Linked DNA regions of Rhinolophus ferrumequinum. The protein of the gene in region 2 purifies or fractionates together with the protein of the main gene of each other region. This does not show direct contact. Links are inferred from orthologs where the notes say so. Each region holds a gene or a part of one and is shown on either strand. Other genes may lie near its edges.

Region 1 (7,377 bases), on a different chromosome or scaffold from region 2:
CAGACAGCTCACTCTGTGCGAGGAAGGGACTGACTGCTATGGAGAACACAGAAACTAGTCAAGAGAAAGTATTCTAGAGGAGCTCACCACCAAGTTGTGCACAGAGAACTTGATGGAGGTCAATGAGTAACGGGTGAGACAGTCAAACAAGGTGATCCATGGAGCAGTGAAGGAAGCCTTCTTGAAGTGGTGGCATTTGAGCTTAGTAAGAGGAGCAATAAAGAACTTTCTAGAAGTGACGGGAGTGAACCAAGATTATACAGCACCAGAGACACTGAGGGAAAAGTGTCTAGAAAGAAGGAATGGTCAGCAGCAGCATCAAGGAGAAAACAATACTCAAAATGGCCATTGGTGTGGTGTCTGGAAGGGCCTTAGTGGCCTTGAGAGTGTGGGTCCTGCCTCCCAGAGCAGGGATAAGCAATCCCAGGGATATGGATTTGGGAGGTCATTAGTTTACCAGGACCCTGCATGTTCAAATCTAACCACCAGGCGGGGCACACGAGCCAAAGTGGACTCATCCTGAACCAGGGGCTTTTCCAGAAACAGGATGCCCTGAGGGAAGAGAGGAAAACTTTTTAAAGATTTTATTGGGAAAGGGGAACAGGACTTTATTGGGGAACAGTGTGTTTTTTCCCAAGACCCATCAACTCCAAGTCAAGCTGTTCTTTCAATCTTATTTGCGGAGGGCACAGCTCAGCTCCAAGTCCAGTTGCTGTTTTTCAATCTAGTTGCGGGGGGCACAGCCCACCATCTCTTGCAGGAATCGAACAGGCAATCTTGTTATTGAGAGCACGCGCTCTAACCAACTGAGCCATCCAGCTGCCGGGGAGTAGCTCCTTGTCTTTACTCTAGTTGCAGAGGGAGCAGCTCACTGGCCCATGGGAATTGAACTGGCAACCCTGTTGCTCAGAGCTCGCACTCTAACCAACTGAGCTATCCAGCAGCCCCGAAAGAGGAATGCTTCTCCCCTTCCAGCACCACAAAACCTGGAAGGCCTCATGTCTCCATGTGATCTCTGACTCAGGGACTTATCCAGATTTTCCCCATCCAGCTAAAGCAAACCATATTTTTTCCATCTCTCCTTTTCCTGGCTGCCTATAACACACTTTGGCCCAGAGGCTTACTGCACCATAGACTGTCACAACGGAGGAGACATCTAATCCAAAATGCTCATTGTACAGATTGAGGCCCAGGGAGCCTGTGACTTGTCCAAAATAAACCAAAGGGTGGGACCAAGAATAGAAGTCAGATCTCCTTGCTCAGAACTATAAGGCCTCCTTTGATTATATGTAATTTGGTGCTTAACTATAGCCCCCCTCACAATTGTTTCTTGAGTGTAAATAATAACAGTAATAGTAACAACAGCCAACATTCCTTGAGCACTTCTGGGGCAGGCACTGTACTAAGTAAGCCATGTTGTGGATTACTTTATTCAATACTAGCAATTACCCTAAGAAGTAGTTTCTATTATAAGCTTAAACATTCACTAAACACCTCCCAACTTGTGCTTGTTAATGGGGGGGCGGGGGGGGGGATTTAGAATATAAAAAGATAAATTCTTCTCTTTCCGTAGACTCTGGCTGTCCAGCACAATGGGACATTGTCTGCTTTGCTCCCTCCCACAGTGCCTCACATACTCCAGTGCCCAACCATCCTCAGTGGACACTGCATTAGGGTGAGAGACTGAGGTAAAGCATTACCAAAATTCCTCTGCTTGGCCATGCTTGGCCACATTTAAGGGAAGCCCATTTTCTCTGCTTCTTTTTCCTCCTCCTCCTCCTTCCGTCCCAGTCTCACCCACTATTGGTCATCCTGCCCTGCAGCCAGCTGCCTGTGGTGTCATGCTCTGAGCCTTTGCACATACAGTACCTTCTGCCTCCAATTTCCTCCTGGTCTTGTCTGCTGCCCCGCCCTCCAAAGTCAGTTGCTGCAGTGTCCCCTGCACTGGGAAGCCTCTCTCCTGACTCTGGCAGAGTTAGAGATGCACCATGTCCCTCTACCTGTTCCTAGGCCATATCTTCCCCCCACCCCACCCCCCCCCACACACACACACAGGCAAAGATTCCATGGGCTCGTGCTCATCTATCCTATACCGTGAGTCTTCCACGTGGGGTAGAGGTCATTGCATCTCAGCATACGGTACAGTATGTGACACATAGCAGGCTCTCAAGAAACATGAAAAGTACAAATGAACGAAGTCCTCCCTAATCTGGTACCTACGACTCTGATTTCCATCTCCCCCTCAGCACCACCCCACCTTGTCTGCTCTTCTGGTTTGGCCGCACTGTCTCCTGTCTCACCCCATTACCCCACCTTAGTTCACTTTGTCTCTCATCTGAACTATTCAACAGCCTCTTCCACGCAGTCCTCAGCTCCCCTTCATTTTCTGCTGCTTCCCTCACATCACCAGATTGCAGGTCCCCAGATACGACACCTCAATTTTCAGTCTAATTCCTCAAAGCCCTGAGCCAAGGCCTGGACAAACAATGGTCCTTATCCTTAAGGGGCCAACTGCCTGCCCCTTCTGCCCTCCCCCACTCAACTAACATACAGATGAGAAATGAACTAAATCACACAGCCAATAGAATCCTTCAGAATGCAAAGTCAGGGGCTGCGAGGTTCCCTTCACCCCACCCCTAGCTAGGTCGCTACCTTCACCTCCCCACATACTGCCCCCATGCCCCCCTGTGAGCTCTAGCCCAGACCCCAGACAGCCCCAGCCCCAGGCATCACCCGAGATTCTCTGACGACTGCAGTAACTTTCCCTGTGGTTCTGCAGCATTGCTTCCAAGTCTGGGTCAGAGGCCCTTCCTTTGAGCTCCCTTAGCCCTGCCGCACACACATATACACACATATAGTATATACAGCACTCTAATCCCCTTGCCAGCCTGCCTGCATACCTCCCCAAGTGGACTCAGAACTCCCTAAGGGCAAAAACAGGATCAGCTCCTTCCTGCTCCTAATGCTGTACCCTCATAAGTAGACAGTGAAAAATGTTTTTGAATGAATGGAGATAAATCTAACAATGAAAATAAACAGCTAAATAAGAGCTACCAGTTGCTGCTGATGGGTGAAATTTTGAGTTACATTCTTTTTGCTTGTTGGTCTTATTCTGATGTTTCTGTATTGAGTATGTTTTGCTTTTGTAATAAAAAAACAAAAAGAACACTAAAGGACACTTCATTTTGAAAAAAATGCAGAGGGGTTTTGGGACAACAGAAGAAGGGAAACGTCCTCATCCTTTGGTGAGAATCAGGAAAGAAATGTTTCAAGAGCCACAGAATTTCTGCAAGTGAAGAGGGGAGGGCCAACCAGCCTTAGGGCACACACCACTGGCACATGCAAAGCCGGGCCAACAAATGTGTGGAGTGCTGGGCAGAGCAGAGTGGTTCCTTACAGATGCAAGATAAGTTATTTCCACTTAGGTCATTGAATGTGGGGAGCTACAGAGACCTTTGAGCAGATGAAAAACATGAACAGAACTTGGTATCCAGAGCATTAAAGAGGGAGTAGTGGACGAAGTCCAAAAGGCAAGAGGGTGGGTGGTGTGCAGTAGAGGCAAGAGGGAAGCTGGGCAACAAACTATCTTCCCCTCTCGGGGCATCTAAACCACAAGTCTAGGAAACGCTCCCGGATTGCCCAACCCTCAGACATATTACTATTTGGTGACGGGCATTTAGAATTATTTCGGTAAGCCGCCGACCTATCTTCCCACCTGGACTGCAAGCTTCTAATTCCTGCTACTCCACATGAGGTGCCAAATACAACCGTGCTCAAAGAGTGAAGGTTTGCACGGAGCCGCCCCAGGAAGAAATAAAGCCAGGCAGCTTCCCTTCAAATCGAAGCCAAAACACGAAGTGCCCTCATTGTGCGGGCAGCCAGCCTTGAGTAAGGGGATTATATCCCGACGACCTGACCCGGAGAAGGTCTCTCAAAGTGGAGGCCTCGGGCAGGAAGCCCGGACTCGACCAGGCGAGAACCAGAACGGCGAGGCTGCCACAAAACGCCCAGGTTAAAGCAGCAGGGGGTGGCAGTCTGGAAAGACCCCTAGACGGTTGGGAGGAAAGGGGGTGGATGGCGTAAGAAAGGGACCGCCAAGTCGGTGGGGAGCGGACGGAGCCCGAAACTATGGGAGAAAGAGGGAAGGGCGCGGATGGGGGTCTGCAGGGGCTGGAATCTCGGGAACCTGGGCGGGGGCGGGCGGCGGGCGGGGGCCGGGGCAGGTGGGGCCGGGGGCGGGGCCGGGGCGGGGTCCTCGGCACATGCGCACTGCAGCCTACAGGGCTCCGTACCGAGTGGCACTTTTTTAAAAGTGCAGCCCGGAGGCCAAGCGGCAGCCACCCGCACGTCGGTCCCAACCTGGTCCTGCCCGTCCCCGCCGCGCGCCCCGGTCCCACACCAGTGCAGTTCAGGCCAATCCAGCCCGCACCATGCCGGTCAAAGGAGGCACTAAGTGCATCAAATACCTGCTCTTCGGCTTTAACTTCATCTTCTGGGTGAGTGAGCGCGACAACCGCGCGTGCTTCTCTCCGGGGCCACCTGTCCGCCCCAGGGACCCTGTCCGCGGTCGCGGGTACGGGTAACTAAAACCGCCCGCCGGGTAGACTCCGGGCCGAGGAGAAAGGGCACGGCGGGCGCCAGCTGGCAGCGCCGCCGGGTCCGGAGACGGGCGGGGCGGCTGTGTTTGTAGGGGGCTCTCCGAAGCCGGGCAGGCAGGAAGACACGGGGTCCCCAGCGAGCTGGGGCGTAGAGACCCGCTCCAGGCCGCTCCTTCGCTAAGGGTGTGGGCCGGGCTGTGTGTGCCCCTGCGAGTACGGTGAGGGAGGGAGTGGAGCCGCTAGGGAGAAACGGAGCACCCCTCCCGGGAACTCGAGGCCCTGGCCCAGGACGGTAGCGGAGAGTGCAGTTCGTGACCGAGGTGAGGTCTCACAAGTGGCAGGGCCGCGATGAGGGGAGGGTGCGGGCGCCCTAAAGGACTTTAGTGGCTCAGGGAGAGCTCCGCCAGGAGCTGTTGGCACTTTTACACTGGAGAGGAAGGAGTGCGGATGGCCGGTCCCGGTCCCTAAGTGAGAGGCGGGACCACCCCCCTCCACCCTCAAGGAGGAACCTTCAGCCCCCTCAATTCTCTCAAACTCTGATTCTGAGCCGCCACGAGAATGTCCGAGCTCCCTCGAAACTACCTGAAAGACTAGCTTGTCTTGATTTTTTTTTCAAGGGCGATAAGTATCTGAACTGGGGAGAACGCTGGGAGAGTTGGGGAGAGGAGGGGCAGATGCAAGTGCGCACTTTTAGTGGGATTTCTCCAGTTCCGGGAGAGATTAGGTGCGGGCCCCAGAGCCCTCTGGCTTCGTCCCCTTCCGCCCCCACCTCCCCCGAGTGGCAAGGCGTGGCCACGAAAGCGCGCGTTCACCTGGAGAGGACACCTGGCCGTCCTCCAGGACTCCCGCTGCTGGCCGCACTCAGCCTTTCTGCAATAGGAACCCTGAGGGAGGCAGCAGAAAAGGGGAGTGTCTCCTCCACACCTTCCCTTGGAGGATTAAGGGACCACCCAGAGACGGAAGCAAGGAATAGGGAACCTTCGTGTTCTGGTTTTGAGGGCTACATCCGCTGCACATAGATGAACGGTCTTTGCCTTTCTGCAGTCAGGAAGGAGTTTGGAAAGGTAGCCCCTGTGCCACGCAAGAGAGACGGCTGTAAAAACGGGCATGCCACCGGAGGCTTATAAAAAAAATGTACTGATTCCCTTGGAGCTGGTCCCTGGGATCCCCACAATCCTCGGGGCAAATCTCCTGAAATTTAATCCTTTCTCCAGAGCTGACAGGGTAAGATACTGAGCTGCCCTTGCAAGAGTCACCACACCCAACACGTGCTAGTGTGGCTGGCACACAGGTGTGCCCCTGCCCAACCCTTGGCCTGCTTTGGGGAGACCCTCCTGTGGTGGGCACCCTTCACCCCCTCCCATCCCCTATTCCCAGCACCCAGCCCCTATAACTGCCAGGCTCGGCTTCCTCTTCTCATCAACCCCAGCACCAGAAAAGAATGTCGAAGGCAGCCCGCCCCAACCCACCCCACTCTTCTCCTTTGGGGAGTTTTCCTCCCCTCCCTAGCACAGTCTCTCCCCTGCCAGTCTGTTGGTTAGTCCTCAGCTCTCCTCCTAGGCTGCATCAGGGTTTGGGGCGAGAGTGAACCACAGATTACCAGTGTGCCTCCATACCCCCATCTTCCCAGTGGCACAAGTAGGGCCTGATGGAAGGCTCCCAGGGACACTGCGGCATCTGCTCAGCCTCTTACTGTCTCCATCCTGCCACCCCATCCATATTCAGAGCTGCTCCTGCCTGGACTGAGTGCTGTTGTTCAGGTATGTGGCCTGAAACAGAAATGACTCACTCTGGGAATGTTGGGTTTAGAGCTAGGAATGACTAGAGATTATTCACAGTGAGAAGGCAGAGAACCAAAGAGGGGGTGATTTGCCCAGGATCACAGAGACGGAGCCAGTACTACACCTCCAGGTTCCTTATTCTAGTCTTGTCCATCACAAAACCATCCAGGGGACCTGGTAATGGGCTTGTGTGGGGGGTAAGCAATAGCTACGTTTTCCTGAATTATTGTTCAGTAGTCCTGTGTCAAGGTCCCTATAGAGATGAAGCCCTCATCCCCCAGGAGATGATGGAATAAAGGAATACTGTGATCCACTCATGTAGCGTTTTATAGTCTGCAAAATCCCAAGCTCCCGTGATATAGCCAAAGCGGGAAGCATTATCCCCATTTTACTGATGATCAGGAAACTAGTCCCCAGAGAAGTTAAGTGACTTAGCCAGGGTCATGTGGCAGGATAGCATCAGAAGTCAGTTTGAAAGCAGATCTGGTTGGCTTCAAATCCAGTGCACTTTGTGTTATGCAAATCACAACATACTGCCATACCCAGCTGGGTGGGAACAAGCTCTCAAAAATCTTTTAAGGGAAGCTACTATCTAAGGGAACTGCTTGTATTATGGTGTCAGTACTTCCTTTTCTCTCTTGAGACCAAAATTTTATAAACTTGGAATTGGGGACCTGATGTGGGCCTTGAAAAGCAGGAGTTGTGAGGCCAGGGGCCACCAGCACCTCCTGAACACAGGATGTGGAGAGGGCGGTCTAGCAGGGATCCAGACAGAAGAAGCCTACCTCAGTGGGGCAGGGTGAGTGTGGGGGTGTGCTTCCTGGCCCCCTCTCATCCCGGCAGGACCCTCGGTGACAGCCAAGCCTGCACTGCCTCCCCTCTCCAAGCAGGGCCTCTGATGCCCACAGCCAAGCCAACAATCAGTCTGTTCTCCCAACGCCTCGAGAATCCTAACTCCCCAGCTCTATTTCAGTTGTGTCTGTATTTCCTTCAGACCT
Region 2 (8,306 bases):
TGCTGCCTGCAGCCACAATTGCTATGCCCATTTTCTTTGGCATGCGCCTTGGAGGCTGCCAGGCGTCTGCTCTGCCCAAAGAAACGTGTTTTAGGAGAGCACAGCAGTCACCCTGGCTCCTGCCTCCCTCAGGTATGACCTCATCTTCCACGAGCCACAGCAACCCCCATCCGAGGCTTCCCAGAAACCCTCATTGCCAGGCAAAGGCGAAAGGGAGAGAGAGCCCCAGAGGTACCTCCCATAGCCCATAAAGTCAGGCCAGACCAGGACACCTGGATTCCCAGGAGGGAAGGCAGATAGGTGCTGGGGGTGCGCAGGGTTGGTGACCATCTCCCGGAGGAAGAGTCCCTCTGCTTTCCCAGGCGTCCTCATGCATCTCACCAAGAAGCCCAAAGCACCTTGGTCCTCTGCCCTGCTCCTCACCTCTCATGTCCAGAGATTGAGAAATTGGGGCCTGGGTTGGGGTGAGCCTCCGGTGTTGTGGGCAGGGAACACCAGTCCAGAGATGGAGATGACAGGGAACCAAGAGGGGCCACACCTGGGTTTTTAACCATTTCTGGATTAAGGCCTTCTTTGAGAATATGATGAAAAAGCTATGCTCTCCCCTCCTCCTGACCCCCAGAACAATGAACAAATACATATGATTTTACATAGACTTTCAGGGTTCCCTGCACCTCCAGAAAACCTCCTATGAACCCCAGGCTAAGAGTTTGTTCAGGACCATGAACCATCCCCCTTTCCGAAGGGACTTTGAGGCTAACAGATTAAGAGCCAACTTGAGTAGCTGGTTCCCCTGAGCTGTGCACTCAGGCAGCTGTTCACATCTGGCTACACAGCTGGCTGCAGCTAAGCCCAGCTGGGCCAGCTGGCTCTCCCAAAGAGCCAACGGGCAGAATTCAGTGAGATGAGGAGATGAGCCAAGATCTAGAACCATCCCTGGGAAAGACTGAGGATACCCAAGAGAGTGACCCCGAACTCCATCTGGAACGACCTGCTTCTCTGAGGTTCATTAGTTTTAGGACCTTCTGGGCTCTTGGCAGGCCTAATGTCATCTCTAACTGCCCAGGAAAAAAAGTAGAACCCCTGGGCTCAGCCATCTTGGGTGAGGCCCCTGGGTGGTGAAGGTGCATCCAGGTTCTGGCTTCAGTACACGAGCCTTCCGCTGCGCCTTGGCACACGCAGGGCATTTCATTCACATTATCTCATTAAAGCCCCCCGTCACCCCATGAAGAAGGCGTGCTGTTCCCCTTCCCCTAACACGTGAGGAAATTAAGGCGGAGGTATGATTGACAGATCCAAGACAGGAAATTGGCAGTGGAACTCGGGAGCTGCTGCTTTCTCCACAATGCCAAGTTGCCTCTCATAGGGCAACATAGGCAGGAAGGAACATCTAGATCCAGGTCCAATCCCTCTTTGGATAAAACTGGCCCAGATAAGGGAACTGTCTTGTTCAAGGTCACATAGCACAGGGGGATGGTGGTATTGCAGAATCTTTTATTGACTCTAGCTTTCCATTATTTCCTCTTGCTTTTCTGATCTTCTCTTTACACTGTGTCGCCTTGTATCATGCAGATTCGGCATGGGAAATCAGAAGATCTTTTTCTGGGTGGGGGCAGAGAGAGCACCAATATAGAAACTTGTGTTGATGGCCACTTAGGGTCTCCGAAAGATGGAGGGTTGGCCAAGGCCAGACGGCAGCTGCTGGGGCCGGACTGGGAAGGGTGTGGTGGCCATATGCTCTGCAGATGGAATCAAGGCCAAGTTCAGGTAGGTTGGGCAGGGGCTGGGCCAGCAGGGCAGGAGCCAAGACTGGGGCAGAGTTTGGACTTTGGATATTCCAAGTTTCCTCAAGTTTCCGCAGGCCCCAGCCACACACCCTTTTTCTGATCGTGTCCTCTTGCTTAGCGGGGTCAGGTGCCAGGAGGGTGCAGATGTCTGGTAGGTCACCCAGCCCAAAGTGACAGGGGCTGCCTGGCCTGTCCTAAACACCATCCCTCCTGGGGCAGCCTACCCTCCCCCAGCTGTCCTCTTCCCCAACTGCTGACCTCAACATACTGAGTCCATGGCACAGAAACATCTGAAACCTGGACATGCCCCTCTGGACATGAGTGTGTATGGTAGGAGTGGGGGTGGGGGCACAAGCAGCTGAGTGCAATCTCCTTCCCTCTCTCCCCTACGCCTAGTTCTCCCCCCTCCTTCTTCTTGCAGCTGTTGGAGAAGGAGACCAGAAGAAAGAAAAAAACACCATTTCGCTCTTCAAACCAAACAAACACACTCAGGGTTGAAGATTCAACATGAATCTGTGGAATGCAGGAAAGATGTCTGGTGGGAGGGCGTCACTGCTGGGTTGGGGTGGGGGGCAGGAGACCAAGCAGGATTTGGGACAGCCCCTCCTCTTTCTTCTACTCCTCCAACCTCAAGAGCTCAGAGGGAGCGCCTGGACAGCTCCAAATGCCCAGACTCTCTCATCACATCACTTCAACCCCCAAGTCACCCCAACCGCCAAGCGCCAAGCGCTGGTTGAGAAGTCCTCCAGTCTGGCTCTGCAGAGGGTGTGGCTGGCCTGGCCGCAGACTAAATGCGAGGTGTAAAGAAAGCGGGCTTAAGTGCATGTGCCCATAGATGCTTCCCCCAAAAAACGGGGAAGGGGGATCCACTAGGTGTTTATCTTGCAGTTTTCCCACGCTCCCAGCCCTGGAGAGAAGAGGCATGCAGTATACTAGGTACTCAATTCACAGAATGGAAGGGAGCTAAGGAAACGGGGACCCCTCTTCTGCTCTTCAGAGAGATGTGAAGGGCTGAGGGACTGCGTCTAGACAGGTTCTGGCTGGGTCAGCATTTGCCAGTGATTACTGCCCCCCACCCCATACCCAATCCCTCCACTTCCCGCCAAACCTCAGCAGCAGGAGGGTTGCCCGGGTCCCCGCCCCCTTAATCTTCGCTCAGGGGAGCAGGCAGCTCCCAGGCCTGGAAGCCCGAGCGGGCCAAGACTTGGACTCAGCTGCGGATCCGCACCCTGCACACACACACACACTCTCTCTCCCACCCCACCCCCGCCAGCCTTACTTACAGGTAGCGCTGCTGCCGCTCCGTCTGCCGGTGGAGGGCGACCGAGTAGCCGAAGAGGCTGCCCGGGTTCCCGGCCTCCTTCACCACCAGGAATCGGGTGTCCAGGTTGAAGGCGGAGGCGACGCGGCCGCCGACGGCCACCATCAAGACAAGCGCGCAGAGCATCGGGCGCAGGACGCGGGTGGCGCGGCGGGGGCCGGGGCCCATGGCTGCGAGCTGGAGCGAGGGCCGGGCCGAGAGAGCGTGAGGGCGTGGAGCTGGGAATGAGAACCTGTTCACCTGCTCCCTGCGCCACTGGAAAACACTCCAGCCGGCCGCGTAATTGAGCCCCGCTGTGCTGATCAGCTTCTGGTCCCCAGCCTTGGTCGGTGTCGCGTCCGCTCAGGGTCTGCGCTGCTCACGATTCCCCTCGGAGGTCCGCGGGTCTAGTCTCCCGCCTGCCCAGCGTCGGGTCACCGCCCACCCGCCCCGGGCACCCTGCCCCCAGTTCTTCACGGCCGCGCCCCCTTGGCCGCACGGTAGCCTTCGATCCCGGCTGGGCGGCGGATCTATGCAGGCAGACTGGTCGACAGCAAGGAGGACCGGAGGGAAGGAGAGTTATCCCCCGCCCGCGCGCGCGCCCCGCCTCCCCACGCCCAGCTCTGCACCTCCCCACCTTGCGCGCCCAGTCGCGGCTCCGCTCTCCTTCCGGGGAAGAGAAAAGGTCCCGGTTCGGCCGCCGCCTCTTAAAGGGGCAGCACTGCCCCTCCCTCATCCTCCCCAAACCGGCTCCGCCCTCTCCCCCAAACACCTGTCGGGAGCCCCCAAAGGCTTGAATTTCCCTTCCCCGCCCCTTGCTTTTCAAGAGAAGCGTCGCCTCCGGAGCAAGATGGATTGGACCAGCGGGGCCGGGGATGGGATTTGTCCCGCGGGTTTGCTGCTGCTGCTACTGCTGCTGGAAAGGCTTTTCCAGGAGCGGGCATCTCTGCTGTCTCGGCGGGAGAGCCCCAGCGTTGGCGCATCTGGGAAACGACCCCCGCTCGCCTCTGGCTGGAATGCCCCACTCGCCTCCGCCGCGCTGGGAGTCCCAGAGAGGTGGCTGGCGGTCTCTGGGCGTTCCTCCTCGCAACCAGCCTCTTTGCTGTCCTCGTCGAGATTTTTTTCTCTTGCCCACCCGCCTCCACCCACCCTGATCCCAGCTGGAAATGGTCCCTCCGCAAAGCCAGACAGATATTTAGCAGTAGTAAATAAACAAGTATCTGTAATCGTAATTAGCAACAAGACAGCGTTTTCTCCCAAGGGCTGCGCCTTCTGGTCTCCCTTGTAAGCCCGATGTGGAAATGAGTCCCTGCTCCTAAGAGTGCCCCTCCGTGGCTAGGGAGCTGGGCCCAGACTGCACCGATTTCTCATTCGCCTTCAGGGACGAGCCCACCAGAATCCCAAAGGTACCCTGAGCTCCCTCCCAGGCTCAGACGGACTGTTTGGAGACTGGGCAGGAACGCCAGCCCCCGCAGGTGTGTAAGTGGGCGGTGCCAGTTGGAGGTAGGTGGGTGGGGCCTAAATGTTTGGTTACCCGCAGAAGAATCAACTGAAAAGGAAATTCAAGAGGTCACGATGGGTCTAACTCAGATTTCTTGGGTCTAACTCAGATTTCCCCATATTGCGGTGGAAAGACCCATTTCCTCTGACCATTCTTTTCTCTAGGGTAAAGGAACTTTCCAGTTCAGCCCTCCCTTGAAGTTCAATTTAGAACCCCTGTCAGAGAGTTTGTAATAATGATAAGACCCATGTAGTAGTGCTTATGCCGGGGGACGTATGCTTAATGCTTTACAAATATTATTAAATCCTCACAATAATCTCTGAGGTGTTATCTCTGTTTCAAGATGAGAAAACGGAGGCTCAGGGAGGTTAAGCAACTTGGTGAAGGCCACACAGCTCGGATTTTAATTCCGTGTAATCTGACCTCAGAGCCCTTCTTGACCAATTAAGCTAATAATTAACATTTGTACAATACTCAGGGCAAATCTAGGTTTTGTGGGGCTTGAAGCTTGTACAATTTGGAGCCCTCTTTAAAGAAAAGAGTAAAGAATTAGGTAGGAGTATAAAATTAGATTCAGAGCCTGGGAAGGACTCAGGCCAAACTTTACAGTTGATGAATCATTTCACATGCAGACTCTCATTTCATCTTCCCAGGCTCCCTATAAATTCAGGATTATCATCCTCATCTGACTTACTAGGGAACCTGGATGTCCAAGATCCCACAGCTCATGGGAAGCAGAGTTAGGACTGGAAGCCACCAATCACAGCTGTGTCTTTAAGAGACAAACTCCAGGCAGATGTTGGTCAGACAGCCAGATGTCCCTACATAGAAGCAGCTGCGATAACAGTGTTCTCTGTGCTGTTTGGGGAGAGGACACTCATCCCTGTCTGCCCTGAGGAGAACACTTGTTCCCAAGCTGTGACTCCCAGAGCCACCCAGCCTCTCTCCATGGTCCACCTGTGGCACAGAGCCTCCCGGGGTCAGGAGATATCTGGGGTCAAGGAACAGGAAACTGACTCAGCGGGGAGTTGAACCATTACCTGGATCTCCTGGCTGGCTGCTGGGTCCTCCACCTTGTTCTAGGAGAAGAGGAGGCAGCCAGAGCCAAGAGCTTAGGGGCCAGGGAACACAGTGTGGGCAGGGGTCCCGCCTGAAATAGCTTTAAGAGCCCGGTGACGACACAGGAGGGCTCCATGCCAGGCGTTATCTCTTTGGCCATCCCCAACAGGAATGACCAGCATGTCCGATCCTGGGGCTGGGAGCAGGAAAGGGATGAGGGATGGTTTTTCCACTCCAGGGGAGTGTCCACAGGGAATGTGGGAGCAGGAGTCTGGTTGGGGGAGGGCCCAAGCTCAGGAATGTGGGGGAGTGTCAGACAGATCTGGGGGAGATGGAATGGTAGAGGGAGACTTGGAGACTGGAAGGGCCTCTGGGCTGGAGAGATACAGAAAGAGAAATCCCAACTTCATGCCAAATGTCCGAAATGCTCTGGTCTCAGTGACGTCATCCACGATCTCATCTCATCCCCCAGCTGACTTCATCATGTCAACTCTTCCTCATGGAGAAGGGACCCACCTAGAAATAGACACAGACAGAGAAACAAGGACATGTGAATAACATGCGTGATGAGGAGTCTGAGTCCTGTTTTTGATGTTTGACTGCTGACAGCTTTTTAAGCTGTTGCCTCTCCCTCCTCCCTCTGTGCCCCACACCTGGGCGAGCTGATTGAGAAAGCATGGGTGCTATGCTCCCTCCTTTGGAGTCCGTGGGAGATTTGAACCATGCAAGTCCTTCCTGCACAAAAAAAGCCCTTCCATGACCTCATTCCCTAAGCACAGTAAAAATACTGGGCCAATCTCCTTTCTTGGCTCTCTCAAGCTATTTCAGACCTGCTTGAGAGAGGCCTGCTCTGCTTCCCTAGAGACCTCAATTATGTAAATAATAAAACTTTGCGTTCTCTCTTGATGTTGTGTGTGGCGTCATCAGTCTTGACATTGAACTAAACCTTGGGTGGGGTCCATCTGTCTCTGCAGGACCATGACAACATGCAACTATAGGTTCTGCAGGGTCAAGGAGGCTTCCTGGAGGAGGAGTACCTGGACGAGGGAGAAGGAAAGGACTAGCAAGAGGGCGTCTCAGGAGAGAAGAAAGCAGAAAAATTGGGGTCTGGTTTGGGGTGAAGTTTTCTGTCGCAAAAATGACATCAAAATTCTATAAAGGCACTTTCCATTTCTTCGGCACTTGCGGTGTTTCTACCAGCCTTCGTCTGCCTGCTTACCCCCTCACACCCCACCTTGGTCTCCCAGAGCCCAGATCACACCACTTGCTCACTCACTTTTTACAGGAAGGTCAGTGCGTGGATGTTCCCAGGCAGTTAGTGGAGAGATAGTGAGATGGAGTGGAATTATGGGGCCGTGAGGGCTGAATGCAGGCTACCTTCTGCTCTCTCACCTGGGGCAAGTTACTTTCCCCCTCCAAGCCTCGATTTCTTCATCTGTGAAAAGAAAGGGCTGTGGAAAATTCCTCATTATTCCTCTACGGGTATCCTTTGTGCCCCAAGGCTCCTAACGTTTGTTGAACTAAGTGGACCAAATCTCTGCTATTGAACTCAGACTCAGGTCTCTATCTCTGATTTGAATTGAAAATGCAAATAACTGGAGAGAGAGGGAGGAGCTGTGAAGCTTGAATGGGTTTATCAGATTTCCTTTCTCCAGTGACCCAGATACAGGCGTGGGGGGGCGGGAGTGGGGCGAGAGCCCAGTCCCGGCAACTTCCCTGGCTCAGAATCTGTCGGCCTCAGACATTCACTGACAACCTACTATGCACTGGCACAGAGCTGAGAAGCCCCAGGGGTGTCAGAGATGAGCCAGCGCATTTCCCAGAGGCCGGGCGTTCATCCTGGCCTCACATTCTGAAAGCTCTCAAATTTAAACAGGCTAAATCCACATGACATTGTAGTTTAGGGCTGGGGCTTATGGAGCAATGAGGGGGTGTCAGAAAGAACGTTTTGGCTACAGCATGAAATTGGCATTGCCAAGAGAGAAGGAGCCAGCAGGAAGGGGCTGCTGTAATAATTTCAGCCAGGGGTGAGGGGCAGAGGGGGGGCGGAAGACAGTGAGAGAGAAGGCCCCAGGACACTGCTTTGACTTGGACTTCAGGCGCAGGTGTGGCGGAGCACGCCTGGGGTGGCAGAGGGAAAGAGCAGAGGGGTTCTGGGAATAAATAAGCAGTGACGCCTTCAGGCGCCCGGTGAGCAGGCCCCAAACATCAGGAAACTTCCCTGCCAGTCAACACCCCCCATACACCGTCTTTCTAGTTCCTCCAACCCTCTCCATGGTCCCCTCACTGCCACCCAGGGCCTGGCCTTGCTGCACATGGCCTGCCCTCCTGGCTTGGAGATTAGGACTCTGGTGGGCTCTCCACCAGCATTCTCTATCTCATGCCAAGGTGGCACCTTCAAGGTTGGGAGGCCATGGGGCCCACGTGGTAGCCCTGGCTGAGCTGAGTCGCCAGCCCCCTGGAGCCCTGCTGTTTCTGGGGGAGACTACTTACTGGCAGGGTTCTGTGCCCAGGTGAGAAAGCTGGACAGGTGAGGGGCTTCATCTACCTTTCCCTCCCCCAAACTCCTGCTAACTCCCTAGAGACTCTTCTGGGCGGGGAGGACCACGTGTGGTTGTCTGTGGAGCACTCCTACGTGCATGTTGATTGGAACATGTGT

Evidence for each region. Proteins that work in one complex are often made in the same cells at the same time.
Region 1: the proteins of ITGA3 (region 2) and CD9 purify together in Homo sapiens (affinity purification with western blotting; 3 studies listed by BioGRID and IntAct, with this or other methods). This does not show direct contact. The link is inferred for Rhinolophus ferrumequinum from reciprocal best matches to the Homo sapiens genes ITGA3 and CD9.

Annotation. Positions count from the first base shown.
Region 1 is NC_046293.1:23,514,084-23,521,460, forward strand, and holds the start of CD9 (CD9 antigen), read left to right. Parts: upstream 1-3,861; 5' UTR 3,862-4,011; intron 4,012-4,318; 5' UTR 4,319-4,430; coding exon 4,431-4,496; intron 4,497-7,377. UniProt on the Homo sapiens protein: Integral membrane protein associated with integrins, which regulates different processes, such as sperm-egg fusion, platelet activation and aggregation, and cell adhesion.
Region 2 is NC_046304.1:33,418,903-33,427,208, forward strand, and holds the start of ITGA3 (integrin alpha-3), read right to left. Parts: upstream 3,277-8,306; coding exon 3,071-3,276; intron 1-3,070.